Linked DNA regions of Coturnix japonica. The protein of the gene in region 5 interacts with the protein of the main gene of each other region in a biochemical or structural test. Links are inferred from orthologs where the notes say so. Each region holds a gene or a part of one and is shown on either strand. Other genes may lie near its edges.

The links.
Region 1: of the proteins of SNCA (region 5) and NEDD4L, one has a biochemical effect on the other in vitro, tested with the Homo sapiens proteins (3 studies listed by BioGRID). The link is inferred for Coturnix japonica from reciprocal best matches to the Homo sapiens genes SNCA and NEDD4L.
Region 2: the proteins of SNCA (region 5) and ENSA form a complex in vitro, tested with the Homo sapiens proteins (2 studies listed by BioGRID, with this or other methods). The link is inferred for Coturnix japonica from reciprocal best matches to the Homo sapiens genes SNCA and ENSA.
Region 3: of the proteins of SNCA (region 5) and PLK2, one has a biochemical effect on the other in vitro, tested with the Homo sapiens proteins (2 studies listed by BioGRID). The link is inferred for Coturnix japonica from reciprocal best matches to the Homo sapiens genes SNCA and PLK2.
Region 4: the proteins of SNCA (region 5) and YOD1 form a complex in vitro, tested with the Homo sapiens proteins (2 studies listed by BioGRID, with this or other methods). The link is inferred for Coturnix japonica from reciprocal best matches to the Homo sapiens genes SNCA and YOD1.
Region 6: of the proteins of SNCA (region 5) and NEDD4, one has a biochemical effect on the other in vitro, tested with the Homo sapiens proteins (3 studies listed by BioGRID). The link is inferred for Coturnix japonica from reciprocal best matches to the Homo sapiens genes SNCA and NEDD4.
Region 7: the proteins of SNCA (region 5) and CRYAB form a complex in vitro, tested with the Homo sapiens proteins (4 studies listed by BioGRID, with this or other methods). The link is inferred for Coturnix japonica from reciprocal best matches to the Homo sapiens genes SNCA and CRYAB.

The regions. Positions count from the first base shown.
Region 1 is NC_029547.1:603,835-608,033, reverse strand, and holds the start of NEDD4L (E3 ubiquitin-protein ligase NEDD4-like), read right to left. Parts: upstream 2,801-4,199; 5' UTR 2,577-2,800; coding exon 1,419-2,576; intron 1-1,418. UniProt on the Homo sapiens protein: E3 ubiquitin-protein ligase that mediates the polyubiquitination of lysine and cysteine residues on target proteins and is thereby implicated in the regulation of various signaling pathways including autophagy, innate immunity or DNA repair.
Region 2 is NC_029540.1:1,835,794-1,839,740, reverse strand, and holds the start of ENSA (alpha-endosulfine), read right to left. Parts: upstream 2,801-3,947; 5' UTR 2,696-2,800; coding exon 2,639-2,695; intron 2,367-2,638; coding exon 2,241-2,366; intron 329-2,240; coding exon 158-328; 3' UTR 1-157. UniProt on the Homo sapiens protein: Protein phosphatase inhibitor that specifically inhibits protein phosphatase 2A (PP2A) during mitosis.
Region 3 is NC_029547.1:19,439,763-19,444,010, reverse strand, and holds the start of PLK2 (serine/threonine-protein kinase PLK2), read left to right. Parts: upstream 1-1,448; 5' UTR 1,449-1,537; coding exon 1,538-1,771; intron 1,772-2,074; coding exon 2,075-2,182; intron 2,183-2,358; coding exon 2,359-2,475; intron 2,476-2,663; coding exon 2,664-2,793; intron 2,794-3,075; coding exon 3,076-3,163; intron 3,164-3,600; coding exon 3,601-3,696; intron 3,697-3,919; coding exon 3,920-4,118; intron 4,119-4,212; coding exon 4,213-4,248.
Region 4 is NC_029541.1:2,847,228-2,851,282, reverse strand, and holds the start of YOD1 (ubiquitin thioesterase OTU1), read left to right. Parts: upstream 1-1,255; 5' UTR 1,256-1,317; coding exon 1,318-1,525; intron 1,526-1,692; coding exon 1,693-2,393; 3' UTR 2,394-4,055. Other genes in the region: PFKFB2 (6-phosphofructo-2-kinase/fructose-2,6-bisphosphatase 2), read right to left, coding at 207-303, 393-518, 949-1,012. UniProt on the Homo sapiens protein: Hydrolase that can remove conjugated ubiquitin from proteins and participates in endoplasmic reticulum-associated degradation (ERAD) for misfolded lumenal proteins.
Region 5 is NC_029519.1:31,233,867-31,237,366, forward strand, and holds the end of SNCA (alpha-synuclein), read right to left. Parts: intron 2,324-3,500; coding exon 2,234-2,323; intron 795-2,233; coding exon 762-794; 3' UTR 168-761; downstream 1-167. UniProt on the Homo sapiens protein: Neuronal protein that plays several roles in synaptic activity such as regulation of synaptic vesicle trafficking and subsequent neurotransmitter release.
Region 6 is NC_029525.1:6,722,655-6,726,154, forward strand, and holds part of NEDD4 (E3 ubiquitin-protein ligase NEDD4), read left to right. Parts: 5' UTR 1-961; coding exon 962-2,482; intron 2,483-3,500. UniProt on the Homo sapiens protein: E3 ubiquitin-protein ligase which accepts ubiquitin from an E2 ubiquitin-conjugating enzyme in the form of a thioester and then directly transfers the ubiquitin to targeted substrates. Specifically ubiquitinates 'Lys-63' in target proteins.
Region 7 is NC_029539.1:5,449,303-5,453,524, forward strand, and holds the start of CRYAB (alpha-crystallin B chain), read left to right. Parts: upstream 1-1,422; 5' UTR 1,423-1,625; coding exon 1,626-1,823; intron 1,824-1,899; exon of another isoform or gene 1,900-2,833; intron 2,834-3,368; coding exon 3,369-3,491; intron 3,492-4,222. Other genes in the region: HSPB2 (heat shock protein beta-2), read right to left, coding at 1-7. UniProt on the Homo sapiens protein: May contribute to the transparency and refractive index of the lens. Has chaperone-like activity, preventing aggregation of various proteins under a wide range of stress conditions.

The DNA.
Region 1 (4,199 bases), on a different chromosome or scaffold from region 5:
GCCAGTGCTTCTACTGGGGCTGCCTGACTGCACTGACTGATACAGCCAGCTATGGTGGTCCTCCAAGAACTGCTAGTACCCAGTGATCAGCAGGAAAACCACACATACATTTTTAGTGTGAGATAAAACACAGTGGAACGCAATGTACTGCACCAGTGAGATTCAAACGAAGGAGAAAAATCAAGGAAGATTCTTCACTCCAGACTTTGCTGCTGAAATGTTCTAGGCTAGCAGGACAGAGACTGTGCACTACTTACTGAGCTGCTTAGCTGACAGAAAGTGAAGTGAAACTGTACTTCTTTGTTTAAGAATCTTTTTCACTGTGTATTTTTATTAACACTTGGCTGTAATTTGTGATTTTCTATGCATAATAACGACTGAAGGGCTCAAAAGAAGGCTACACCAGAATAGCTTGGAGATGCCAGCTTCTCAACAAGAAAGCTGCAGAGTCATCATACGGCCTTGCTGCAGTGAGCAGCTGTCTCTCCGTACTGCATTTCACTGAACAAAAGCGCAGCAGAATGAGAACACAGGCAGCGAAGACCCAAATCTCTCCCAGTGAATCTGTTTTCACAGCTGGAGACAGAGCACTTGCTATTCTATATACAGCATCACTGAGCTCAGGGACTCAAGTGGGCAGTGTTAAATTGCACAGTAAAGCAGTTTAAAGCAAATGACTAATCTAAACCCTTCCCTTTCATTCCTGCTTTGGTCTTTCAAAAATGGCTTAAAAACATGAAACTTCAGACTTCATTCGTTATAACAGGACCAGAAGATGAATCCTGGCACCTGAAAGTAAAACCAACGCAAACAGAACTGACAGCACAGTTTCCCAAGTTGTTTGATCAGGACTTGTGGCACACAAAAAAACAGGACAAACCCTTAGCTTAGAGAAGGCCAAAAGCGAGTGAAAAAATACACCCTAACGCCTCCTTTTTCCCCCTAACTTTTTGTTACCTTACCTGCTAGGCCGTTACCTTCATTAGACTTACCATGAGATTTCTACCACTTTAGCTCCTATTGCATTACGATGCACATTTTTAAAGCCACAGGGGTACAAACATGCACATTATCCTTAGGCTTTATCAAAGCATTTGTTTTCAGGCTACGAAGTGCACAAAGAATTCCTTAATCCTTAATTAAACATGATCCCTTAATTTGCCATTTGGTTGTTCTGATTTTAAAAGAATCTTATGTACAACATGTGACGTTAGGATCTCAAAATATTACACCGCACATAACCACAGCCGAGGACAAAGCTAAAGCAGATCTGAAACAGAGATCACTAGTGGCTGGTTCCAGAGAAACAGCGAATGTTCTAGCACTAACAAGGGAGCCGTCCAGTTGCCTCAGGTTTAAAAGCCTTTGCATGGCAATTCTGTACAGTGTTAGCAGAGCACACTCAGCATCTTACTCACCGCGGTGCTGGCTGCTGCAGGACCAGGGGTGCCACGACATTCTGTACCAACCACTGGACTTTGCTCCTCGGGATTACGGGTGACAAGGATTCTGAAGTGCTGCTGTCTCGTGTTTTGATCTGGTCTGATTTTAAACAGGCATCCCTTCCCTTGAGGAATTTTCTCTACTGAATTGCTTCTGGATATTTCTGACCCGCTCCTGCTGTTTCCATGCAGTTCTGAAGTCAGTCCCTCACCTGCAGGGCGGATTTCCTCTGGCCGTGGTTGCACAGGGTAGGAAGCGCTCCTCCCCAGCTGTATGCGCGGGTACCTGACCAATCTATCCCCTTTTGTCCCAGTAAAGCCAAAGTTATACTCGCCACCTTTACCACTTGCCTGCGGCTGCTGTAACTGGAGAACAAAGAACTTTTTCCCTGCATTTGCTGACATGTCTGGCACATGCTGCAGAGACCAGCGCCGGGGCTCGGGGGTGGGAGCATTATTTTGAGCCTCGGAACCATAGGGCAACAGAGTAACCTGAGGCACATCGGCACTTGAAGCACGATGCTGAATCCTCACGCCGCTGAAGTTCAAACCTGAAGGTGTTTCCTTTGCTTCATTCTCATGGGCAGTGGACAGAGCATCGTCGCTCTGGTTATTAGGAGGAATAGTACGGAATATCCTACGGTTACAGCGAAGAGTGCCATTCATCTGCTGCCCCAACTCCTCTGTCTGCCTGGGTGGAGAATCATCAGGAGCCACCTCTGGGCTACTCCGGGAGGATGAATGGTTTTCAACGGGAGACACGTAATGCTCCCTAACATCCGAGGCCTTGCTCAGGGGTGTCTCCTTGGGGGTCTCCGGGGTCGCGCACTCATCTGCAGCCTTGCGCTGGAGAGAGATCTGCATGGAGGAGCTCCTGGTGGGACGTGCGCTGATGCTGTTCAGCAGCTGGGGAATAAACATGGAGGTGCTCCTTTTCAAGGAGCCCACTTCTTGGAAATCGCTGCCACCGCCGTAATCTGCTCCGTGTCGGGAGAAAGCGTGAGGGCTGCTTCTTCTCGGCAAAGTGTGGAATGCCATGAAAATCTCATCTTCTCTCTCCCGGTCGAGGATCTCGGATTCGGGGGCTGTGTTGCTTCGCCCAGAGCCAAAATGAAACCGCAGCCGATGGGCCATGGTTTTACAGAGAGAAGAAAAGGAGAGGGAGAACGGCAACAATTCAGGCGCTGCCAGAAGTTAAAAACCAAAGACATAAACTCCAAGAAAAAGTGTCCCATCTGCCAAACTGTTAGCACTGCAGCACTGATAGCGACAGATAGCAGAAATAGCCCAAGTGGCAAGCAGCATTCCAGGCATGATTGGGTAAGAGCAATCAGCACTCCTACACACAGTGACATGGGGTAGGATGGTGGCGGTCACGTGGCCCGGTTCCCCCTCTCCAATCTAAGCCAGTGGGGGTTCTGTTGTTTTTTTTTAATGCCAGCGAGAGCCTGAAACAGCACCTTCCCAGCTGCTCCTTTTCCATCAGGGCGCAGCTGACCGAGGCAGCGAGCACACTCGGCGCCGCTATAAATCTAACTCATCTCGTACCCGCACGGCGCGTTCGCACAGGGCGCACGGAAAGTTAACGACAACACAAACGGTTCGGTGTTAGGGCTGTAAGTCAACGCCACATGCAAATAAGGAACAATATTTCAAGCTTAACTTTTTGGTGTGTGTTACAGCACGAGGCTATCATGGCAGAACGTGAGTAAATATAGCACCGTTACGCTTTCAATTTTAACTGTGCTCATAGCACGGTTAAGTAACAAGCTCCTTGCCTTTAAAAAGCCACAACTTTCACGTTGTCCCTAGGAGCGCAATGCAGCCCAAGTGAGCCCACACAGCCCCTTTTAATCAGTAAAAATTACAGCAAACAAAGCAGCCCTATGCACAGCAAAGATTTCTCACTCAGTAGAAACAGGAGAAATGCGCAAAATGACAGGAGGCAAAGCTCCTTTTCCAGTGTTACCGGGCAGTAACGACGAGAGAAAACCAGAGACGGGTGTCGCATTGCCGTTTGGTACCGATTTGTCTTAAACAGCGCACAGAAACTCTGCCCTTTACTGGCCAGCCTCCAGTGGGAAAGTTAGCAATTCTACCATGGGCGTGATCGCAGGCACGGAATACAGTTACACTCTGAGAGCCAAGAGACCTCAGAAGCAGAACAGACCAGCAGGATACATCCAACTGCAGAACAAACACCCTGAATATGCTCCACTGCAATGCAGGAAATTGGTGACTGGGGGATCCTCGCAGCCGAAGGGCGCCCGCCATCGCAACGGTTCGCACATGCTGGGGAAGCACCCGGTTAGCTAAAAGCACATCTACAAGAAGAGACAGCGTAGGATCAGCTCAATGTACAGACATCTGTTCCTTAGGAGAACACTGAGAAGTGCTGTCAACAAACTATCGGTGGCAGGTCAGTGCTCTGTCTAGACGTTTAAACCTCTGTTTCCATGCGGCTTGCTCTCAAAAGACATAAAGTGACCAATCAAAGACAAATGGAAGCTTCAAACCTTGCAACTGCCAGCAGACAGCACAATCCCCTATTGTTTTAAGTGGACCAGGAGCCAACAAGAAGAAAAACATGAATAGCTTCTACACAGCCACAGTGCTGTGGAACTGTCTTGTGCAAGCACAAGTGTTGATTTTATCTTATTTTTCAGGTACACCATTTTCCATAGTCTCTTTTTTATCTGAAGATGAAGACACACCACGTATTCTCTGCTCTTATGGGGGGAGAGAAAGGAAAGGATA
Region 2 (3,947 bases), on a different chromosome or scaffold from region 5:
TGCTGCGTGTTTGCTAGAAATACTCATATAACTAAGTGGATTCTGGTGCTCCCAGCTCTATGGTACAGTGAAGTTCAATCCAATTAACCAAAAGAACAAAGAAAATAAAGGGGGGGGGAGGAGAAAAACAACCCAAAAAACAGCCCTTGAATGCGGGCTACCCTGCCAGTTTGCTGGCCACGAGTGAGGATTTTCTCTGCGGGAGGTCCTGAGGCTTTGGGATGTGGTCTCCTGTCACCAGGTTCTTATCCGGCCCTGCAGTCGGCAGCTGTTTGTTCTTCATCTTCGCCTTGGCCATGTTGTAATCACCGGAATCAAAGTATTTTTGCTGGAAGAAGAGAAGGATTTCAGGTTACTCTGAAGCTCTTTGCAGGACGGCCGAGCTGCACACTGAGCTATAAACACACCTTTAAGAAGCTGCGATGGCTGATACCCAACTTATCACCAGAACAACACACAAGGGGAAAGTCCAAGGCAACTGTTGGGCCTTTATTTAGCAGCTCCCCACAACACCCAGTACGGCTCAGGTGTCTCATCCCAGCCAGCAGCCTACACCCCTGTCTCTTCTCCTTCCATTACTTGAAGGGAGCTTATAACCTGTCCCCTCTCCTTCCAGCTTATAAACACATAGGAGAGCGACTTCTTACACACACAGACAATAACAGGACAAGACGGAATGGCTTGAAGCTAAACAAGGGGAGATCTAGGTCAGATATGAGGCGGAAATTCTTTACCCTGAAGCGTTGCCATGCTGGTACTGCTGCTCACATTAGTGTGGGTCCTGCCTGAGCTGGTGGGAGGGCACTGAGCCCACAGCACTGATGGGGCTGGGGGGACTCTGTGGTCCCTTCCTACCCATTCTGTGATCCTAACAGTGACTGTGTCTGAGCCCACAGCACTGATGGGGCTGTGGGGGCTCTGTGGTCCCTTCCAACCCATTCTGTGATCCTAACAGTGACTGCGGGGCAGACGCTGTGTCAGCAGCCTCGTCCAGACAGGCTCAGCTACAGCAACGCAGCTGGGGGACATTTGCTGATCCCACTTTGGCAGACAAAAGAGCTTGTGGGACAAAGGCAGAATGAGCCCAGCCCAACCCACAGCCCAGCCAGGCTCCTGCAGCCAAATGCCTGCAGAGATGTGGCACCCAGACAGCTCCCATCAGTGCTGAGCTGTGGTGCGAAGGGCAGCCCGCTCCCTCGCCCATGACTCCGTGCACCCCATGGTGCTGCTCTGCCCTGCTGACAGCAGAGCAAAGGGCAAAAGGACGAGCAGAGTTTGGACAGTGCTCTGAGAAATCCTGCTTGAACTCTGGGCAGTCCTGAATGGAGAAAGGAATTGGACTTGGTGATCCCTGTGGGTCTCCTCCATCCCAGGGTATCTAGTGATGCTGCCAACAGCTTTTTGGGCCCCACAAAGCCCAGCCCAGCCCTAAAGCCCTTTCCCTACTTGGTGCCAAAGGATGAATCCCTCATTTCTGTGCTTGCTTTAGGAGCTGGGACCTAAAACATGACCTGTCAGCAAGGCAGCACACAAAGAGCTGTGCAAACAGCGAGGGGGCTGCACCAGGACCAGCAATACGGGGTTACATTAACAACCAATAGAGCTAATGGGACCCTGGGTTCAATTAACAGCCAATAGAGCTAATGAGACCCTGGGTGTAATTAACAGCCAATAGAGCTAACGGGACCCTGGGTGTAATTAACAGCCAATAGAGCTAACGGGACCCTGGGTGTAATTAACAGCCAATAGAGCTAATGAGACCCTGGGTGCAATTAACAGCCAATAGAGCTAATGGGACCCTGGGTGTAATTAACAGCCAATAGAGCTAATGAGACCCTGGGTGCAATGCCCAGAGCACGGGGCAGGGCGATGCTCCCCTACTCTGTCCTGGGGGGAGTGGAGTAAGGTTCCTTACCTTAATCTTACAGTTGAAGTGGGTTAGTGTTTAGGGTTAGTGTTTAGGGTTAGGGGTTTAGGGTTAGGGTTTGGGGTTTAGGGTACTACTCTTCCACTGTAGTTATAAGCAGAGTGGGAAGTGCTGGGAGAGCCTCCAAGTGGGTATGGAACAATTGATGGGGAACAGATGAGAGCTGTGGGGCTGAGATCAGGAGCTGAAAGGGGGCAGGACAAGGGGGGACAGGACAAGGGGGGCACAGGGCGGCCCCCCCCCATCTCTGTGATGCTGTGAGTGCTGTTGTGACACCCCGGGCCCATTGTACGGAGATCACGGCTCTAAGTACCCCTTTCTGCAGCCTCTTCATCAGGAAGTCGGAGCCGCCGGGTTTCTGGCCCAGGTTGGGGTATTTCGCCTTCAGTTTCGCCTCCTCAACCCGCTCCGGGATGGCGGCTTCATTGTCCTGCGGGTCCTGAAAGGCAGCGGGGCCTGTAACAGTGTAACATAACGCGGGGCTCCGTCCCCACCCGCAGCCGGTTCCGCACTGAGCCCCGCACAACTGGGCCCCACAACCCCCTCCACCTCTCCCGGAAGTCCCACCCCCGCGCCCACACGGCAGCCAATGAGCGCCTAGAAGAACAACGACGGAAACAACGACGGGAGCCAACCGCTGAGCGAGGCGAGGAAGAGTGGCGCGCTGCCGGACCAATGGGAAGAGGGAGGGCCCGGCACGCGGTTCCTCACCTGTTTCTCGTGCCCGCAGTGCTCCGTGACGATGCCGGTTCCCAACGGGGCGGCCATGGCGGGACGGGCGGCCCTGCGGCTTCGCGTCGCTCCGTGCGCGCCGAGCAGCCCCGAGCTCTGCTCCAAAATGGCCGCCACCGCCCCCCTGACGGCCCGGCTGCGTGACGGACAGGCGGCTGCCCAATAGGAGCAGCCAGGAGGCCGTAGTGACGTCACACACGACCAATGAGGAGCTGCGAGGGGTGGGGAAAAGGGCCGGGCTTGGCCAACCCGTGTGAAGCTTATGGAACCAATGGGAAGTGAGAGAACACCTGGTGGGCGGGAGGCGTGGCCAAAAGTTTGATAGACAGCGGGAAGAACCAATAGGGGAAAGGGGGCGTGGCCAAAGCTCGGGAGCTGGGTAGAACCTTGAAGCGGCGCCCCCTGGCGGGCAGAGGAGGAACTGCAGGACACGCGGCCCCGCAACTCGCAGCGCCCCCCGCCCCCACCCCACATTGTGCGACCCCTCATTGTGCGACCCCACATTGTGCGACCCCCAAAGCTCCCGTAGCGCCTCAAGGCCCCGGGATGGAACTGACACCGCTTCCCCCAACCCCAAATTCAAAGGAAAGAGGAGCTGATCCAGCATTAAGGCAGAGCACTGAGAGAAGGGCTGCAGGACGGAAAGGAACGTGTTCAAAATTCCCAGGGGGGGAAAAAAAACAACAAAAACAGGAATAAAAAACAAATAATCAGTGTAAACTTTTCCCTCCTGGTCTGACACAGAGACACCCCCGGCACACACAGCCCCTGAAGAACCAGGGCACAAACCCAATACAGCAGGGAGCAGCAGGAGGAGGCGAACCCAAACCCTAACCCTAACACCTAACCCTAACCTTAACCCTAACCCAATACAGCAGGGAGGAGGAGGCGAACCCTAAACCTAACCCAAACCCCAACCCCTAGCCCCAAAACCCTAACCCTAACCCAACCCTAACCTTAACTCTAACCCAAACCCTAACCCTAACCCAATACAGCAGGAAGCAGGAGGCAAACCCTAACCATAACCCTAACCCCTAACCCTAACACCTAACCCTAACCCCTAACCCCTAACTCTAACCCAATACAGCAGGGAGGAGGAGGAGGAGGCAAACCCTAAGCCTAACCCCTAACCCTAACCCTAACCCAATACAGCAGAGAGGAGGTGGCGAACTCTAAACCTAACCCTAACCCCAACCCCTAGCCCCTAAACCCTAACCCCTAACCCTAACCGTAACCCATAACCCTAACCCAACCCCAACCCTAACCCTAACCCAATACAGCAGGGAGG
Region 3 (4,248 bases), on a different chromosome or scaffold from region 5:
GCACAACAGACCAAAGCAATTTAGTGACAGAAAACAAAGAACCGTGAAATTATTTTTAACGTTAAGCAACTTATCTCTACTTATTTTTCAATTATTTATACTAGTTTGGACAAATGTAAGTTGTGTGATGGCAATACTGTTGGCCTGGAAAGCCAGTTGGTGAGGGGCTAAGGGAAAAGCTGGCATAGCACCGAGGAGTGAAACCTGGGTATCTTGAATTTTAACTTGTTTCTGTTTTTGTCCCCCACCCCTTTGGCTCAATTCTAACAATACTATCATGACTTTGGAGAGAGGAAAGAGACGTCTATGCAGGGGGAGCACGTGGCCAGAGCCTAGATGCAGATGTGCAGACCATGTAGAGTCCACACAACCAAGTGTATGTGCACCCAAGCACTAACTTCATAAAGCAATACTTATTACTTGAGTATATATTACTGTTATTTTAAGATCTGAAAGAAATGCTCAGGGGAGGATACCATACTCTTTTATATGGTCATGTGCTTGGATGTTAATTTGTATGGAATTAACTGGACTTCTGTTTTCACCAGCACAGTAAGCAAGCAGATGTACTCCCAGTGTGTACGAAAAAGCAAACTCCTTTTCAGAAATGAACAGGAACTTTCACACTTTAAAACTTTCCTCTCACGTGGACCTTTCACTCTTCAAGGACCATTTCTTTTCAAACATCTGTATCAGAGATCAAGGACTGTGCACCCCAGTTTCTAATGTGAAGTAGGGAGAAATTTTAATGTCAGCTGCAAAGCAGCATCCTGGAAGGGGGGAGAGAGTGTTGCAGGAGGTGCTTCCAAGCAGCTATCCTTCTGCCCCCGGCTGCAGCCTTTTGGTGCCATGCACTGCAGTACTGCAAGCAACTGATCACAGGAGAAGCTCTGGGCTGCTGGGAGGAGGTGTCTGGACAAAGAAGAGAATGGGATGTGATGCTTGAAATATCTTTGGCAAAAAACAAAACAAAAGTAAGTGGGATGAGACTTGCTGCCCAGGACAGCCTGCAAGCTCAGTGCAAAATGAATGCTGCCGTTCTGACTAACAGACGAGGGCTGCCCTATATGGCAAAAGTTCCGTTGTCTTAGAGGTGTGTTTAGGATGTCTGAAGAAACGTCTTTGTCCGTGAAAATAAAACATCAGTGCTGCCTGTATCTGTCCCTCTGTCAGACGGCTCCGAGAGCGCGGGGATGTGGCTGGGCAGCGAGATCTCCCCATGTGAGCAACAGCGAGGGCAGCAAGGCTCGCACAGAACTGGTTTCCTCTTCGATCCGGGGGTGGCTGCGGGCGGCCGCAATGCCCTCAATGCTGCCTCCGAGTCTGCATAGGGCTTCTGTCCCAGCTCTGGGCCGTGCCGGGCCGCTCTGAGCATCAGGAGGCGGGGCCGAGCCGCTGGGCGGGGCCTTCCTCGAGATATAAGGGCGAGCCGTGGGTTGCTCGGCGTTGTGTGAGCGCCGGGAGCGGGGTGGGGAGAGGAGCTGAGCGGAGCTGAGTTGTGCGGCAGGTGGGAGGCGGGCGGGACGGCGACGCGGAGATGGAGCTGCTGCGGACCATCGCCTACCCGCCGGGAGGCAGCGGAGCCTCCAGCAATACTGCTGCTGCCAGGGGCTGCGAGGCGGCCGTGGGGAGGGCCAGCAGTGCCGAGCCGCGGAGAAAGAAAGCAGAAGAGCAGCCCCACCAGCACGCACACCCTGCCGCCGAGGTGTCCCGGATTATAACCGACCCCGCGACGGGGAAGCGCTACTGCCGCGGAAAGGTGCTCGGAAAGGTAATGGCCGGGTCTGCGCCTGCAGCCCTGCTCCCGGGGTCTCCGTGCGTCTGTCGCGGCCGCGGACATTCTCGCCCGTACTCCGAGCCCGTGTGTCCTGAGCCGGCGGGGAGCGTTCGGGTGTGCGCTGTGCGACCGTCGCAGCCCTTCGGGAGGGAGCTCTGAGCACCTCCGCGTGTTAGCCGGCTGTCCTGCCCGAAGGAAGTTATGCTCATTGACTAATATGCGACCTGGTGAATGACTCAGTGCGGGGCTTCTTTCCTACCTGCTCTAATGGCTTTTTTTTCTCCTGTGTTTCTTCAGGGTGGATTTGCCAAGTGCTATGAGATGACAGATTTGACGACGAATAAAGTTTATGCTGCAAAAATCATTCCTCACAGCAGAGTAGCGAAACCTCATCAAAGGGAGAAGGTGTGTGTGCATGAACGATTTTTTTTTATTTTTTTTTTTCCCCTCAAACTCGCTTTGTGTGCTGGTTGCCCAACCCTTTTCCTGGAACAACTCCAGCAGAGCTGTCTGTTCTGCGCTTCCCAGGCTTGTGGTCACACGGCTAACAATGCTTTTTTCCTTCTCTCTTATCTCACCAGATTGATAAAGAAATTGAGCTGCACAGAATGCTTAATCACAGACATGTTGTTCAGTTCTACCACTACTTTGAAGACAGAGAGAATATTTACATTCTTCTGGAGTACTGCAGTAGAAGGGTGAGCATCAGCTGGGAGAAATCCAGTACTTACTTGCCTGGAATCTGTAATTGATTTAAAGGTATAATGTGTAAAAAGTATTTTTCAGGGCTTCTCTAGTTCATCCATGCATTAATTTTTGTGTACTTGATGTGAATTGTTTGTGTGAATGCTGAGTGACACGTCTGCCTTTGTTTTTTCCTCTGCAGTCAATGGCTCACATCTTGAAAGCACGGAAGGTATTGACGGAACCAGAAGTACGATACTACCTCAGGCAGATTGTGTCAGGGCTAAAGTATCTTCATGAACAGGAAATCTTGCACAGGGATCTTAAGCTAGGTAAGTTCTGTTCCTCGACAACTTCTAAAAATACATACTTTTCCAGCCCTGTCAGCCTTGTGTCACGTTAAACTTGTGTGCTGATAGCTTAATTAATAGCTTAGTCTGCCTATACAGTGGGAAGCTGGAGTGTTTGAGAAATGGTATTAAGTATCCATACTTTAAAAAAAAACAAACCAAAAGTCTTGGGTAGCTTCTGGTTTTGAATAAAGTATGACTCAGCACCTGTGGCAAATGCATTCCTGCTTTGCAAGGAGACTAACCAGAATTTCTTTCTGCTAGGTAACTTCTTCATTAATGAGAACATGGAACTGAAACTAGGTGACTTTGGCTTGGCAGCTAGGCTGGAACCACTGGAACACAGGAGGAGGTAGGAGCATTAAAGTAAAAAAAAAAAAAAAAGTGTATTGTAGTGTACAAAACCAAATTCACTTAGAAATGAGGGATGGAGATAGAGAGATCCTGTGTCAAAGGAAGAGCTAATTGTGCTCTGGAATCAAGATTTCCCCTTCTAGAAAAGTTTGCTGTGTTTTGATGTTTGCATTCCTCCTCTCAGCATTTGAATAATAGCAAATGCCTGAGGCAGGATACCTGACTAATAGTGCAGATATGAGTCTGCTTTTCCTGTATCATGAAGGCACTGTGAAACGTGTCTATGCTATTAGCATTCATAAAAGTCCTCTTTAGGAGTCTCTGAGCTCTTGCCTGAACTTGAGAGTAAAACCTGCCCTATGAAAAATAGCTTCTTTCCTTTTTCTCCCTGAGCTCCTACCCTAACCTGCCTCTGTGGCCTCTTTGATTTTACAGAACAATATGTGGCACACCAAATTACCTCTCTCCAGAAGTCCTCAACAAACAAGGGCATGGCTGTGAATCCGACATCTGGGCCTTAGGCTGTGTAATGTAAGTACTTTGCTGCCTTTGAAATAAAATATTTCTGTCGTTGGCTTAGGCTTTTAAGAGTTCAAAGGAAATGGATACAGTGCTGTGTTGGTTTGCAGCCCTTTCTAGATGCCGAACCCAAGTGCCGAAGTTCTCCTTACTAGGGGACAGATAAAATGTGTGCAGTGGTTGCCAGCTTGTGTTATGGGTGCACAAAATTAAGTTGGCTTTTGTTTTTCAACAGGTACACGATGTTGTTGGGAAGACCCCCATTTGAGACCACAAATCTTAAAGAAACATACAGATGTATAAGGGAAGCAAGATACAGTCTGCCTTCATCTCTCTTGGCACCTGCAAAGCACTTAATTGCTAGCATGCTGTCAAAGAATCCAGAAGACCGGCCCAGTTTAGATGAAATAATGCGGCATGATTTTTTTGTACAGGTTTGTCTTATTTAATGTTCTGGCTTAAACCTTATCTACCCTTACAAATGCACCCTGTGGTTTGAAAATTGCTTTTTGAATCTCATTTCCACAGGGCTTTACACCTGACAGACTTTCTGCTAGCTGTTGT
Region 4 (4,055 bases), on a different chromosome or scaffold from region 5:
TGCTCCAAGCCCCTGCTTCCTTTCCATCTAGTTCTGATGCCAACAACATTCCCACGCACCCAGAGATCCTGCCAAGGGATCCGTGCACTGTACTACCTCCTTCCATGGCATTCAATGTTATTTGGTGCTACAGAAACACACAGGCTGCCAACCCCGAGCCTAAGCAGACCACGGGCCATCTGTGCAGCCCTGCAATGCCAACTCACTTGCGGATCTCCATCGCTTCCTTGTTATCATGCCTGAAGAAGTCATAGGATTTGTAGGACTTGACAGCTTCCCGGCGATACACCCCTAAATTGAACACTTGGGACAGAAAGCAACACAGTGCTGAGATGGGAACCCACCAACACCCTCCCACCCGTGTTAATGGGGCTGTGTGGGCGCACACACACCTCGGGTGGGCACCCCGATCCAGTTGAGGTAGCGAGTCAGCTTCTTGGAGATGTAGGTCTTCCCCCGGGCTGGCAGCCCGATCATCACGATGAGGGTGGGCGAGTTGGTCATGTAGGATGCCCACGCTGCAGGGGAATGATAGCATGGAACCCAGTGCACAGATAGAGCTACATAGACAGAGCCGGCCGTCCTGCAGCTGGCACCTGGCTCCTAATGAGTGCTGCAAGCAGTGTTAGCTAATGAAAGTGATTAGCAGCGGCGCACCTGCTGCAATTAATGGAGCTAATGCAGCTCTCGGCGGGGCAAATATTTACCCAGCAGGTGCCGGCTGACAAGGGCAGGAGAAAAATGGCTTGAGAATGGAAGAAAACATGGGTTCAAACAGATGGTCACGAAAAACAGGAGGCAGCAGGGCTGCAGCGATGGGCTGACACTGCCAGCAGCACCAAGAGCACCGGGATAGCGAGTCAAACCCACGCGTGGGGTGGGAACCTAGTATTCTGTTAAGCAATAAGACAACCATAAGCTCTCCATGCACGGTTACACGGTACTTACAGCACTTCTTCTCCCCTCCCCGCTGGGCCCCGGCTCTGCCGCCGTGCCGGTACGTTGCCGCCATGGCTCCGCGCCGCCGCGCTGCATGCAAATGAGATGCAAATCACACCCCGGCAAGCGGGCGGGAGAACGGCTCTACGCCACAACCCGCAGCGCGCCCTGCATGCAAATGAGATCCACACCGGCCGCGGCGCGCGCGCGCGCCCGCTTTGGAGACAACCACGATTGGCCGCGGCCTGGCGCCAAATGAAACAGCAGCGCGGGAAGAGATCTCGCGAGATCCAGCGGGCGCTGGGCCGGGTGAGGAAGAGGAGGGGAAGGAAAGGAGGAAGGAGAGGAGGAGGAGGAGGAAGGGGGGCGGCACCGACCATGTTACGGCTGCGCTGCAAGGCCCGGAGCGGGACCCAGCTGTTACCCGGCCTCACCGCACACACCCGGCTCAGAGACATGCAGGCCGCTTTAGCCGCCATCACCGGCGTCCCCGCCTCGGCACAGCGGTTGTTGCTCGGTTTCCCACCTCGGAGCATTGATCTGAGTGATGGAGAGAGGAGGCTGGGAGAGCTGGGCATCCATTCGGGTGAGGCCTAGTTATTAGGGCTGTAATTAGTCTAATTAAGTGAGGCTGTGGGTGCTCACCCCCCATTGGAGGTGCTTGAGAGCCATAGACATACAGCACTTTGTGTTCTTTGGGGATGGGTTGGTGTTAATCTGCCTCTATACTCATCTCACCCCTCTCTCTAACAGGAGACACGCTCATAGTGGAGGAGGATACATCTAAACCCAGTGCTGGCTCCCCAGTGGTGACCAAGAGAACCATGGAGGTGATGGAAGCGCTTCCAGTGTTGGCCAGGAGGGTGGTACCGGCTGATAACTCGTGTCTATTCACCAGCATCAACTACGTGGTGGAAGGAGGGGTGTACGACCCCGGCTGCGCTCCTGAGATGCGTAACCTCATAGCACAGATCGTAGGCAGCGACCCCGAGGCGTATTGTGAAGCTGTGCTGGGGAAAAGCAATAGAGAATACTGCGACTGGATCCGGAGAGAGGAAACGTGGGGGGGAGCCATCGAGGTTTCTATTTTATCTAAGTTTTATCAGTGTGAGATCTGTGTGGTGGACACACAGACGGTCAGAATCGATCGTTTCGGGGAGGATGCCGGCTACACCAAACGGGTGCTGTTGATCTATGATGGGATTCATTACGATCCGCTCGAGCGTAAGATCCTCGACTCGGACGTTCCTCCCCAAACCATTTTCTCTACCACTGATGATGTCGTCCTCGCACAAGCTTTGGAATTAGCAGATGAAGCCAGAAGGAAGAGGCAGTTCACCGACGTGAATCGCTTCACTCTGAGGTGCATGGTGTGCCAGAAGGGACTGACGGGACAAGTAGAAGCCAGAGAACACGCCAAGGAGACGGGACACACCAACTTCGGGGAGGTGTGACTCCTGTATGAGGATGGTTACATCTACTACCTCACTCATCCGGAATAAAATTCTGGATCTCCAGATAAGCTGTATTTAATCACAAAATTCCGTTCACAGAGCTTGAAAAGCGTGTTAGCTTAACGATGGCCGAGGCGCACAGGTTTGGTGTTGGATAGGGATTTATCCAGCTGGTTTGAAATGTAGGTTATCTTCTCGCATGCTGATTTAGAGTCACTGGGCAGGTGATGTACACTGGCAGCTAAAACCTGATGACTGTAATAACCTTCTCTTTGAGTGTGTGCTCTGAGTGGCCATACAGAACCAGGCTTGTTCAATACTAGTGTAAAAAAAGCGAGCCTCTAAATCACTGTTTTATGTTGTCAGGGTAATTAAATTAAGGGTTTAGGAAATGTACGTATCAGCACTATTTATGCTCATAAATAGACTCTGCGCATAGAAGCAGCCCTTCCAAGGGGAACTGCTCGTGGGGTGCGCAGTATATAGTGGGAAGAGCATCCCTAAAGCTGCCCTACACTATGTTACTATCAGAAGTAGAATGTATTGTTTGTGTGAAGTCACGGCTTTAGAGAGAGAAGTGGCCTTTAAGCTTTAAGATAGCCTTCTTAAAATTAACGAGTAGGTGGTTAAGTGTTGAATAAACTTATTAATCCTCCATAGGTAGCTTTTAGTTGCTTGGAAAATAACTATCCAGCCCCTTGGTGTTTACACTGCATTGGAACGTAGGCATGTTACTTGGAATACTTGGGTTCTTCTTCACTTTATCTTCAATTCTGGCAGGAGGGAAATACATTCATTAGGGAAGTATCTTAATTTGCATCTCTTTAGTACATCGGAATGGTCTTCATTTGGCTGTAGCTGATCTCACAGCCACAGTGTTACTAAGCTGTAGCAGATTCCAAATACTGTAAATTAGCACTTTAAGGTATAGTTCTCAGTTGTGTTTGCTGGTAAGAAGTCTTATAGAAGCAAGGAGTAGTAATCCAGAAGGGAGGCTGGAGGTTTCTTCATCTGCATTCTGCCTTAATGTGTTTGATTTGTCACCGATGACTGTTGAGGAGCAAGGCTTATAATTCAAGATAATGAAGGATGATGCAGTTGAACTGTCAGAACAAAACAAGCTGGGTGAAGTGCCCTACTTCTCATACTGCTCCGAATCAGGGAAGGTGGAATTGATTTCATCAACCTTACCTCACAGCAAGGTTGTGAGCTTAACAGCAAGTGCTTTGAGGTCTTTTAAAAGGTGCTGTATAGGTGCGTAGTACCGAAGGGGATTTATTTGTTTCCTTTGTAATGCCTGTAATACACATTTGTTTTAAGGGATTTTACAATGTTCTTAGCCTTCTATCACACTGTTTCGAGTTACCTCTCTTGCTCTTCTACAAATGGAGAGCAGGAACGTGCATCTTCAGTTTGAGGCAGAAACAAACCTGCTTTCCAAATGGAATCCATCTTAGCTCTGAAGGCCTCCATTCATTGAAGTTCTCACTGAGTTGGACCTTGAAATACTGAGAGAATCTCACAGGAAATCGAGCGTAATCACATCAAGTGCTTTGAATTGAGGCAAGAATAATTAAGGATAAAGAATAGGATTGCCAAAAGCACTACAGACCAATTTTCTTTTTATTTCAGTATTAAAATACACGTTCACACTGTTGGGGA
Region 5 (3,500 bases):
GCACTGTAAGGCCAGTCCTGATACTCACATTCTTCACCCTGCTTTTTGTATAGAACAGGCTTGTTTGCTTCTTTTATTCCCCCCATGCTTTTTCAGGGAGCCTGAATTCCTCAATGCACGCTCTTGGAGAGAAAATAAGCCGTCATAAATGACTACTACCCTTGAAATTCATTTTTAACAGGTTACATTTTATTTGCTTCAGTTGAACACCATTATTTACAGACACAAGTTAATAAAACACATCACAAAACAATAAAATTTCAACAGTTAATATTTATAGGTGCATAGTTCATGCTCAGTTACTTTTTTATATATATAATACATACACATTTACATAAAGCTTTCACAATAAGTCTTTTCTGCACAGAAATAATAGTCATAGGAAACAAATAAAAATTGTATCATAAACAATATCAAAGTACTGACAGCCTATCAACAAAACATGTACAGAGTTAGAAAGAAGCAGTAGACACTTAGGTGTTTTTATTTAGTGTTTTGTTTTTAACTTTTAAAAGTGAAGCCACAATATCCACAGCACAACAATGACCCTGCCAACCAGCTTTCATTTCAGCAGGAGGGAAATGCTGAAACAAGGTGGATGCAGTCACAGATACTCCAATCATTGCTGATGGAAGACTTCAAAATACACTGTAAAAACTGTAAAAAAATTTTACGACTGGGCACATTGGAACTCAGCACTTGTACAGAATGGGACGTCTTTGTTAGTAGATTTCAGGAGATATAAAGGAAGAAAAGATTTCTCATGCTTCAGGTTCATAATCTTGATACTCTTCCTATGAAGGAGAGCAGAAATCAGTGCTACTATTTCAAATAAATACATCCTAACATATATATTTTAACTTCTACTGATTGTGCTAATCACAGTATGTGCAGTGAAAAAATATTATGGATTTTTATGTGATGAGAAACTTGTCTTGTGTTTACTGTTTTGTCACATTTTCCAGATACTCTATTTGACAAAGTGTGGTGTTAACAGGAGAATAAGATTTAGCAGTGGTTAACATACCACTCAGTTATCACAGAGACTTCAGCAACGAATTTGTGACTGATTCTGAGCAAGCATAATGAAGAAAGGGAAAATAAATAAAAAACACCTGTGTGTGAAGTCTACCTACACTACTCTTTAGCCTTTTTAAAATGATGATTTTTTTTGTAAACCCATTCATGTGGGTGAAAGCAAGCTGCTACATTTCAGCTGGCATCCAGCAAAACAATTGGACATGTTCTTCAGTGATGAAGATCACAGACACTTGAAAGCACGTAACTGGGCTCCTCAGTCTGCTTATGGTGAGTTAAATGAGCCTCTTTTTGAAGGATCAGGAGTGCAAGATGTTTTACAAAAGCTCATTGCAAAACACTTCAGGCCTTATGTGGTTTACTGAAACACTAGAGGCAGCTAAATCTCTGTGCTGTTAGCATACCTTTTTTTCAGGCTCATTATCTATGTGACTTCAGGACTTGGTTCAGCTCACTCGGAACTACAAAATGATCTCTTCTGGTCCCCACTGACATAGTGAGAATTTTGTGAGACAATGCATGCCAACTCACTTAGAACTAAAGAAGAACCTCTGAACAGCACACCAGGTGCTGCAAATACTCTGGAAACCTGAACAGCAATCAGAGATCAGGTATCTATTTAACTCTTCACTGGATCTAGTTCTAGATGTTTTCACCTCTGGTTTTCAGCCTGACTATCTGCACTACTGCAAAACTGCCACTCCAAATGCTGATGAATCATAGTATCATGTATTGTTGTAAAGCTTCAGAGAGCATAATCAGGATTAGCTCAAAACCCTCAATAATTTACTCCTATAATTTTAGTTATTACACTCAGAGCAACTTCCAGCACAATCCAAAAAAACACATTAAATGTCCAACCTATTAAAAGAATCTATGGAGAAGTAGAAGTTTCTCCCCATAACCTGTATCAAATAGAAGTTACTGATGATTACTCAGAAAGTGAAACATGCATGTTTTGAAACAAAGATAATATTTTCTCATTAAACTTCAAGAAATTAATTTTTTTTCCCCTTTTTCTTCCCCCCTCCCCCTGCACTGTACCTCAGAGAGATTTTGGCCACAAACTTATTTCTCCTTTGACCCTGCAGCTCATGGTATCAGCCTATGCCACACTAATGCAACTCCAGCATTCAGTATCCTATCTTTGCCTTTCTCCTGTGGACACAAACAGCAAATACCACAACAGATTTACCTCTGGAGGCATTTCATAAGCCTCATTCTCAGGATCCGCAGGAATATCAGTATTATTCACCATTCCTTCCTGCAGGAAACCTTCTTCATTCTACATTTAAAACATGGAGAGAAAAAAAAGTAATAAAGTGTCAGATCAACTTCTTGCCTTCTCATTTATTCCAAAGCACTTCTTTCCTCCCCACACAGTGGATAATGACTATAAATGCATGTAGAAGTAAGAGGAGGCCAAAAGGGATTGGGTAGTATCAAGACACAGAAATGAAATGGTAATTCTATTATGCATTTTGTTTTTGGCAGATAATTCACCCTCCTAATCCTTTATTTCATTTTATAGTTTTTACTCTTCTCATATTACATTTCAAAGTGGCCAAAGGAGGAAGAACAACTATAAGTTATTGCATGTTGTTGTCTTTTTTCCTACAGTTTTAGAACCTAATGATATTGGGAAGCATTTTTCCCTTAATGATTCATATTTTTATATCCTTTATTATGTCGAGTAGCACCTTACTCTATGCAGTATACTTATGACACATGACACAACTTCTTACATTCTTTCTTAGAGATCTGTTATTGACCATTAAAGAAGCATTTCTATCCACCTCTCCCACCTCTCCACCATCCCTGTAGGGGTTATTAATGCAGAAGGTCACATAGAAGAAGTAACAGTTTTACCAGAACAAAGACTGCTAGAGTTCATCCTAAACTGTAAGAAAATTGATATGAAAACCAGAAGATGATCTCATTGGAACTATTCTGACTGAACTAATTTATAGCAGTTACCAATCTAGACAGAAATGTACTAGAAAAACCCTAACAAACTCAGGAAGGGAATCACTAAAAAAACAAGCAGTCCTGAGGCTAGTAGTGTGGAAAGAAATACAAAATTAAGTCTGTCACAAACAACACTAATGAGGTAATTCTTCAAATTTCGTAATTTATAGGATAGTTACGCTAAATTAAATTTAGGATGTAGATAAAAACAAATAAAAGAGCAACTAAACTGGAAATTCACCTCTGCCAGTTTAACAGAAAATACAAAATAATATGCAAAAAAGTGGCATTAAAACATCATTACCTTACCACAGTATTTGTCATGCTCCCTTGATGATTCCCAATGACTACCTTAATTTAACAGGAGATGAAGGGCATGGAGTGAGCACTACATACTGAAGAAATAGTATTTTCACTGCGAGAACTGGATTTAAGACTTTTTCTTTCCTTTGATAAACAACTATTTGGAATAAACATGAGGGAAGATTAAATAG
Region 6 (3,500 bases), on a different chromosome or scaffold from region 5:
TCCGCTTATTCTGGGCTTCCAGCAAACAAGATGGTACTTTGCTTTGCACTGTAAGAATATTTTGTTTCTTTCTACCTTCAACAGCTGTAATTTGGAAAGGTTGAAATATATTATTTAACATGGCAGTCTGGATATAAGCACTGAATTATTAATCAGAGTATCTTGTTGCACTTCGAGTTTAGAGGCGTCTCACTAAAAAACATTAACTAATTGGTAGGAGACCTTTTCACTACGTGGAAATCTTTGCAAAGAGTGATTGGTTAAACAGAATGCAGATTGTTAGGTAATGCCAGGTTTCTTTCAAGTTTTGTTTAAATAGCCTAGAAAAACTTTTTTTAAGGAGGAGGGTTATTTTGCTGGTTTATGCATAAGTCAGACCTCAGCAGTTTGCTAGCATGGCTACTATTTGGAAATTCAATCCTAGACTTGATACTCAATTATATGGGATTTCATTCCTACCAACTTCCTGTAATTCTAAACCTATGGGTAAAAATATTAGTAGTCATACGCTGCTGGGGAAAGTACGGACACATTGACTCAGCTAGTGCAGCTGCAGCAGAAGCTGCTGTTTTAAACTTGGAAGTGCTGAGAGGTTATTATTATATTCATATATGCAAATTACAGAAGGTATAATCGAAACAAGGTTGATAGTGTTTGTCAGTACGTTGCAGCTGAGGTCGCTGGAATGTAAGTGCTTTATAAATGAATGCTTTCTGACTGCGAGCAATCAAAGACGGTCCAGAAACTGCACTTCAACAAATGGCTGACTGATTTCAAGAGGTACAATATCTTTTTTCTTAACACTACTATCCTGTAGAAATTAGGACAAAGCTTGCAACTTCTTTTATGGGCTTTTGCTGTTGTGATGCACTAGCTCCAGGTTCTGTGCAGCTGCCTGTAAACTTTCTGCTGAAGGATCTTTGTGGTTTTAATTTGCTAATATGCATGGAAATGAGAACAAATGGCACGACGGTTAAGACTGCATTTTGCAACCCAAAGAAGGAACACGGATCTGTTACCGGAAACCTCCGAAGATGTTTTGAATAGTAACAATCAAATGTACTTCAAAAAGGCACAGAATTCTGAACTTAATGGTATACAAATGAAGCTGGCTTCTAGACAAGTTGCTTGTGCACCTGTAATGCAGCAAGTAATTAATCAAGAGGGAAATGCAGCTATTTCTTCACTGCAAAAAAAAAAGAGCACGTCTCTGCACATTTCTCTGCAATCTAGAAGGCATAATGAATGTTTTCGGTCTGGTGATGCTGCAGCTGCTGGCGAAGATGCTTCATTCATCAGTATTTGTAATGAAGGAAATTATGGCATCAGAACTGTGGTTGATCATCAAGCTAACGATAGCCATCTGAGCAATACTGCTGTGTGCATCGGCAGTCTTAACAGTATTGCAGCCAGTGACAATGGGTCCTTCAGCAGTGCTGGCAGCGACTATGGATCATGTGCAAGTACCACGAGTGATGGAGGTTCATATAGTAACAGCGTCATCAGTGACAGCGGCAGCGGCACTCTCTCCACAAGCGATGGTTCTTTCTGTTGTAGTGTTGTACATGGTGATTCTTCGTATGGAAACACTGCAAACAAATACAGTCCATACAGAAGCAGTTCATCTCAGGAGGAAATAGAAGTGTGTAGAATTAACCCTGCTTTTGACCAAGAAGCTGTGTCGGTGAGGAAGAAAACCAAAGTTCCGCTGCGGCGGTGTTCATCATTGGTAATTTTCCCCAGAAGCCCTTCCAGTACTCCTCCAGCTACTCCAGTAACCTCAGGTCAGATGCCACATAGAGGTGCCTATCAAACATCACATAAACTAATTATTTCTCCTAGTGAGCTGGCACATAAGGAAGATCAGACTGTTTCTAAGGGATTCCTTTCAACAGCAGTCAATGGACTTCGACTGTCTAAAACAGTTTGCGCATCTGGTGAAGCTAGAGACATAAGACAGCTTTACTTGCAGACATCATTACGGGACAAAAGTCGAATTTTGAACAGTTCTGAGCAGACAGCTCGTGAAGAAATAGCTGACAGATTCTCATGCATTTCAGTTCATCTGACTCCAAGAGCATTTGCATCAAGCAGTGAAATGGTTAATGGCTGTTGCAGTCAAGAGTTAAATCTGAACTCCACTACAAAATACCCTCCTTTAAAACTGGCACGCAGCACATCTGCATGTTTACCCTCAAAAATAGATTCAGAATACCAGATGAATATAAACGAACTGGAAAGACCGAATGCACAGATGAGCAAAGCCCACCATGTTTTGCAAAGAAGTGTTTCGTTGGAAGGATCGCGTCAGAAAGTTTCTTGCTGTTTATCCAGTCTTAAATACAAGTGTCATAATGCAAGGACGTCTCAGTTGCACATACAGTTCAGACCTGGGAACGAAGGAAAAACAAGTGGTGTTAAGAAAAGATATGGAACCTCTAAAAGGGAAATATCCAGCACTTCTTTGTGGAGGCCCCATAAGGTGAGTGTTCTGACTTATAGAAAAATCAGTGTTCTGCAGCTGAAACTAAATTATAAATTTTAAATAATAACATTTGTAATCAAGATTTTAAACACAGCTATTTCAGGATTTCTTAATGTTGTCAGACTGTCATCATTGGGCAGGTTAATTTTTATATTACCCACAACACTCATTTTTTTAGATTTGATTCTTAAAATATGGTACTGTTTTTGGTGAATTTGTCATATAGGGAAATATCTGTATTTAATATATTATACACAATTATTTCCTGCTTACATGAACCCAAAGGGATTTTCTTGTTTAAATAACTTCAATGTCTAAATGCCTAAACTTCACTTTTGTAAAGTTTTAAATACGTAACTTTCCAGCTCAATTATAGTAATGATTAACATTGCATATAAAGTTGGCAAAAATGAATAAATTGCTATAAAGAAGGCTTTCAGGTTTATTTCATATAGGCTTTATTCTCAGTATGGTTTACTTTATGAGAGATTAAAGATAAGTTATATTTGAACAGAGAAACTGTAAATACCATTTGTTTCTGTATACACCCTGAACCACAGGAATTTTCAGTTTCCTTTCCTTTTTTTTTTCCCCCTTCCAACCACTTCTTCAGTCTGAGCAGCACGCTGTAACTTAATCTCTCTCCCAACAACATTGCTGTCCAAATTATAGTACTCGGCTCTAGAAGGTTTATATTAAATATATTGTTTGGTAATGAAGCTTACATCGAACTGAATTTCCGGAGGGTTTGATCTTATTAACTCTTGAGGCATTTTCTATTGTTAGTAAAGCATAAACCATATGAAATGTGAATACTAGAAACTGTTATAGTGAGGTTGTGGAGACTTGAACAAGCTGAGTATTATTAACTGTTTTTAATTGTGAACTCTGGAGAAAGAGCAATAATACTTACAAAAGTTATTTCATGTTTTAAGACTACACTGTCCATTAATTTAAATTACTGTGGTCTTATAATACTTGTTGAAGCAATGGGTTTTAGGCCAAAGATCTGACA
Region 7 (4,222 bases), on a different chromosome or scaffold from region 5:
TCCTCATTGCATTCCTGTAGAGCTGCAGGCTCTGACTGCCGGCGGGGTGCAATCCTGCACCCCCTGGCTCTCCACCTTGGGCAGGGAACAAGAGGCAGGAACAGGGCACCCAGCACTGCCCCTGCCAACCCAGCAGGGCACAGGGCTATGCCTAATGGTGGCTGATGCTTGGTCAGGTTGTGTGCAGTCATGCAAAGTCATCGCTGTGAGTTTATCGCTCATATCAACCCCACAGAAAGGGATCTGTTTCCCCCAGAAGCTGAGTCTTTTGTTCCTGGGAGTGGTAAGGTGCTGCAGACCGCTAAGTGGCACTGAACAGGGTGCAGACCATGATGCTGACACTCCAGAACTGTGCCACTGTGAGCCAGCTGACCAGGCTGTGCCTTGGCCAGGGCTTCAGTGCTGCTCAGTGGGACCAGAGAAATGCCTGTGCTGGAGGTGGTGCATTAACCAGAGTCTGAAACTGGCCTAGATCCACTTTTACTAAACTGGGTGTTAGTACCCATTTAAGCTCCTTGTACTCTGAAACCAGAGATTTCCATGTCTCTGCAGTGCGAGAGAGCAGGTGCACTACTGCTGACGTAACATGGAACTGGATAAAGTATTTATGGCTGGGGCTTCTGCAGAGAGAATTCTACACCCTAATCTTGCAGGCAAGTGAACAGGAAGAGAGTCGAGCCCTTTTGCAGGGGACCGGTGGTGCTAGCAGTGAGAATCATGTGCCCTCAAGCCAGAAGTCTGTATTTAAGTTGCAGATAATCAGAGCTCTTGTCCTTAAAGGACAGCTGCTGGGCTGAACCCAGCCTCATGATCTGAACTGATAGCTGCTGGGCACAGGCAGATCAAGGTAGTTTGCATCCCAGAGAAGGCAAGCAGTGGTGCAGCTCTGCAGGGCTGCTGTGTGCCTGCTTTATCTCTGCTCACAGGGTGCTGGGCTCTTCTGCCCTCTCCAGCAGAGCGATTTCTCGAGTGGGCAAAGGACAAGAGTTGTCAGCTGATGCTCTGTGGAAACCATCCTTAGTGTGCACACACCAGCAGGTGCTCAGGTATGGTGCTCACCAGGCTGCAGAGCTGCACACCAGGGTACCTCAGCACAGACCTTTTGGGGTCCATGTTGCCCTCTCATTAAGGCCTGGGGCTTCCTTCACTTTAAGGGAAGGCAGAGCCCTTCCTTGGCGCGTGGGTGCAGTGGGGAACTGTAGCCTTGGTGCCGTCACTGGGAACAACAGTCCCTTGTCCTTTTCCATGTGAACCAAAGATAGGAGCTGCATTGATCCTGCTGGCATCCAAAGCAGCTGGGAACATCCGCCAAGCCTGCCTGGGACTCAACAGATAAACAGCACGTGGGGTGCAGAGAGGGTGGCTGGGCAGCTTGGCTTCTTGCTGTCCCATTAGTGTCCTTCTTCTCCCCTTCCCCCTCCTCCTTAGCAGTCTGTTCAAACCCCCGGACGCTCCTGGGCACTGCTGAAGGGACCAGTCCCGGACTGGGACAATAAAATCCCTGACACCACTATTTGAGAGGCCTCGGGGGGAGAGGCCCCGCCAGCCGCACGGGTATAAAGCTGCCCCCTGTGCTGGGCACAGCACCGCAGCAGTTGTTTGCTTGGCTCCTCTGTCGCACTCCGATGGATATCACCATTCACAACCCCCTGATCCGCAGACCTCTGTTTTCTTGGTTAACACCGAGCCGTATCTTTGACCAGCTATTTGGAGAGCACCTGCAGGAGTCAGAGCTGCTCCCTACGTCCCCCAGCTTCAGCCCCTTCCTGATGAGATCCCCCTTCTTTCGGATGCCCAGTTGGCTGGAGACGGGACTCTCAGAGGTAATCTTCCTTGCTTACTGTTTCTTGTTACCACTAGGTGCACATCCTGACGGGTCTGGAGCTGGGGACCCGGGAGAGCTGGGACACTGCTTGTAGGTAGTTAATAGGAAATCTATTATGAGGAAAAGAGTGCTGAGTTCTTGCCTCTGCTCCTTGGTGTTAGGCAAGGACCTCTGCACTCTCTGCTAATCACTTGTAACTGAGAGCAAATATTGCCACAGCCATGGGCACAGAGACAAACTGAGCTGTGTGTGTGCTGTGAATGACTGTAGAAGCCAGCAAGAGAAAGGAGGAAGCCTGATTTCTCTGTCTGCCCTGAAAAATTTTACATTCTGCGTCCTCCTGAGAAGCAGAGGGGCAGTGGGACCCCGTGCCAGGCAGCATGGGAGCCCCCAGATGCTGAGTAGAAAGGCCCAAGCTAAAGCATCTCTGCCAGGCAGAGCAGTGTTTTCAGAGAGATATGGGATGGGAGGACCTTTAAATGGCCATCTGCTTCGGGGGCTGAGGCACGCAGCTCAAATGACTTTGCTCAGCATGCAGGTCAGATGCCAATGTGCAAATAACTTAAAGAGTTACTCAAAGCCAGTGGAGTGAGAGGGAAGTATTTTCTTAATCTTTGCTTAATGTTTCCCTTGGTTTAGTCACCTGGTCTGGTCATATGCTGAAGCAGCCATAATAAGCACCACAGGTAACAACATCAACATCTGACTTTTTCAGTGGAGAAATCTTCACAGTAATCTAGCAAAAGGAGCAGGAAGCCCTCCAGGTAAAACTGAGGAAACCAGTAACCAGAAAGCTAGAACTGGCATGGAAGCTGCCTCCATGTCCCAAAACAGAGCTGCAGGAGGCTCGCGTTTTCCCTGACTGTGACTGCAGCAGGAAGGCAGAGACAGCCAGCCTGCATTGCCGTGTCCCACTGACTTATCCAAGACAGGCAGAAAATGCAAATTCAACCTCAGGAGCAAGCAAAAAGCAGCATTTGCTGGAGATGATAAAGTGCAGAATGGAAGGTAAGGATGCAAGATGAGCAGCAGGTGACTCAGAGTTTCAGCAGTAGCCCTGCTGCTCAGATAAGAGGGGTGAGCTGGTAGTGCTGCTCAGCTGAGACACGCTATTTTTGTTTTTAAAGAGTGACGACGCAGGGGAAAGCCTGCAAGTGACACAGATGAGCTGCAGCCAGCTGCACACTCTGTTTCTTTTTCCAGAAAGACTTAGCAAAATCCAGCTGCAGAGACTGGAAATCTCCAGACACCTCAGAAAAAGTAGATAGGAGTCAGTTTTAACAAATTCAGATTGAGAAAGTCTCTTTCTTATTTCCCAGAAAATATCTATTCTCTGTTTATCCAGAGAGAAAGCATCATGTTTTATGTGCTGTAGTGGTGGGCATGAATGGAACAGGCTAGCAAGAGCCAGATGAGAACCCCAGGACTGAAAACAGGAGGTCAGACAGTGCGTGTGGGGAGCCCAGCGTGAGCGTGACTTGCTGCATGTTGAGAGTCTGATGAAGCTGAAACCTCTGCCTGAAGTCGTCTCCTTGTTTTACAGATGCGACTGGAGAAAGACAAATTTTCTGTAAATCTTGATGTGAAGCATTTCTCCCCCGAGGAGCTAAAAGTGAAGGTGATTGGGGACATGATAGAAATTCATGGGAAACACGAGGAGCGCCAGGTACTTCTGTGTCACTGTTAACCAATGTGTGCTTCTTCACCTATGGTTAAACAAGGAAGCTGCAGAACAATCCTCCTCTGTGCTCTTCTGAAACACTTCCAGTGTTTTTGATCAACCAGTCCTAATGGAAGATGCTCTATGCAAACCCCCAGCTGATCCCAGACTGGGCAGCAGCAGAGTGGAGATTTAGTGCTGGTATTGCATGAACTGTGAACTGAACTGGAAAATCAACTTTGAAATAAGCATTTCCGGGCCTCCCTCTTTCTGGAAGAGGACAGGAATGCAGAGAAGCATTCAATAAGTTAACAATGAGCTGTAATAATTAAACCGCATAACGAATGAATGCATTGCCATGTTCCATTAGCAAGAAGCTATCTCTTCTTGAAAAAATACCCATTTACCAACTTACAGTCCTTAAAGGCTGTACTCTGCTGTCAGCCATCCCATTGCTTACTGGCTCTGTGGCAAAAGGTCAAAGAGAGGCCAAAAGCCACGTCCAAAGCTGTATGTAACAGGGATTACCTATCCTCCTATCCTTGCAAGAAGGAAACAAATCCTAAAGTACCTGTATCATTGTACCCATCAGCTCCAAAACTTCTGGGTGCCCAGATCTGTCAGTCAAATGCAGCACTACTCATAGACACTGGAAGCCTGTAATTCTGAAATAGCTTCTGCGGGGTTTTTTTTGTTTGTTTGTTTTTTGTTTGTTTTGGCTAAGAAATGAATCCAGA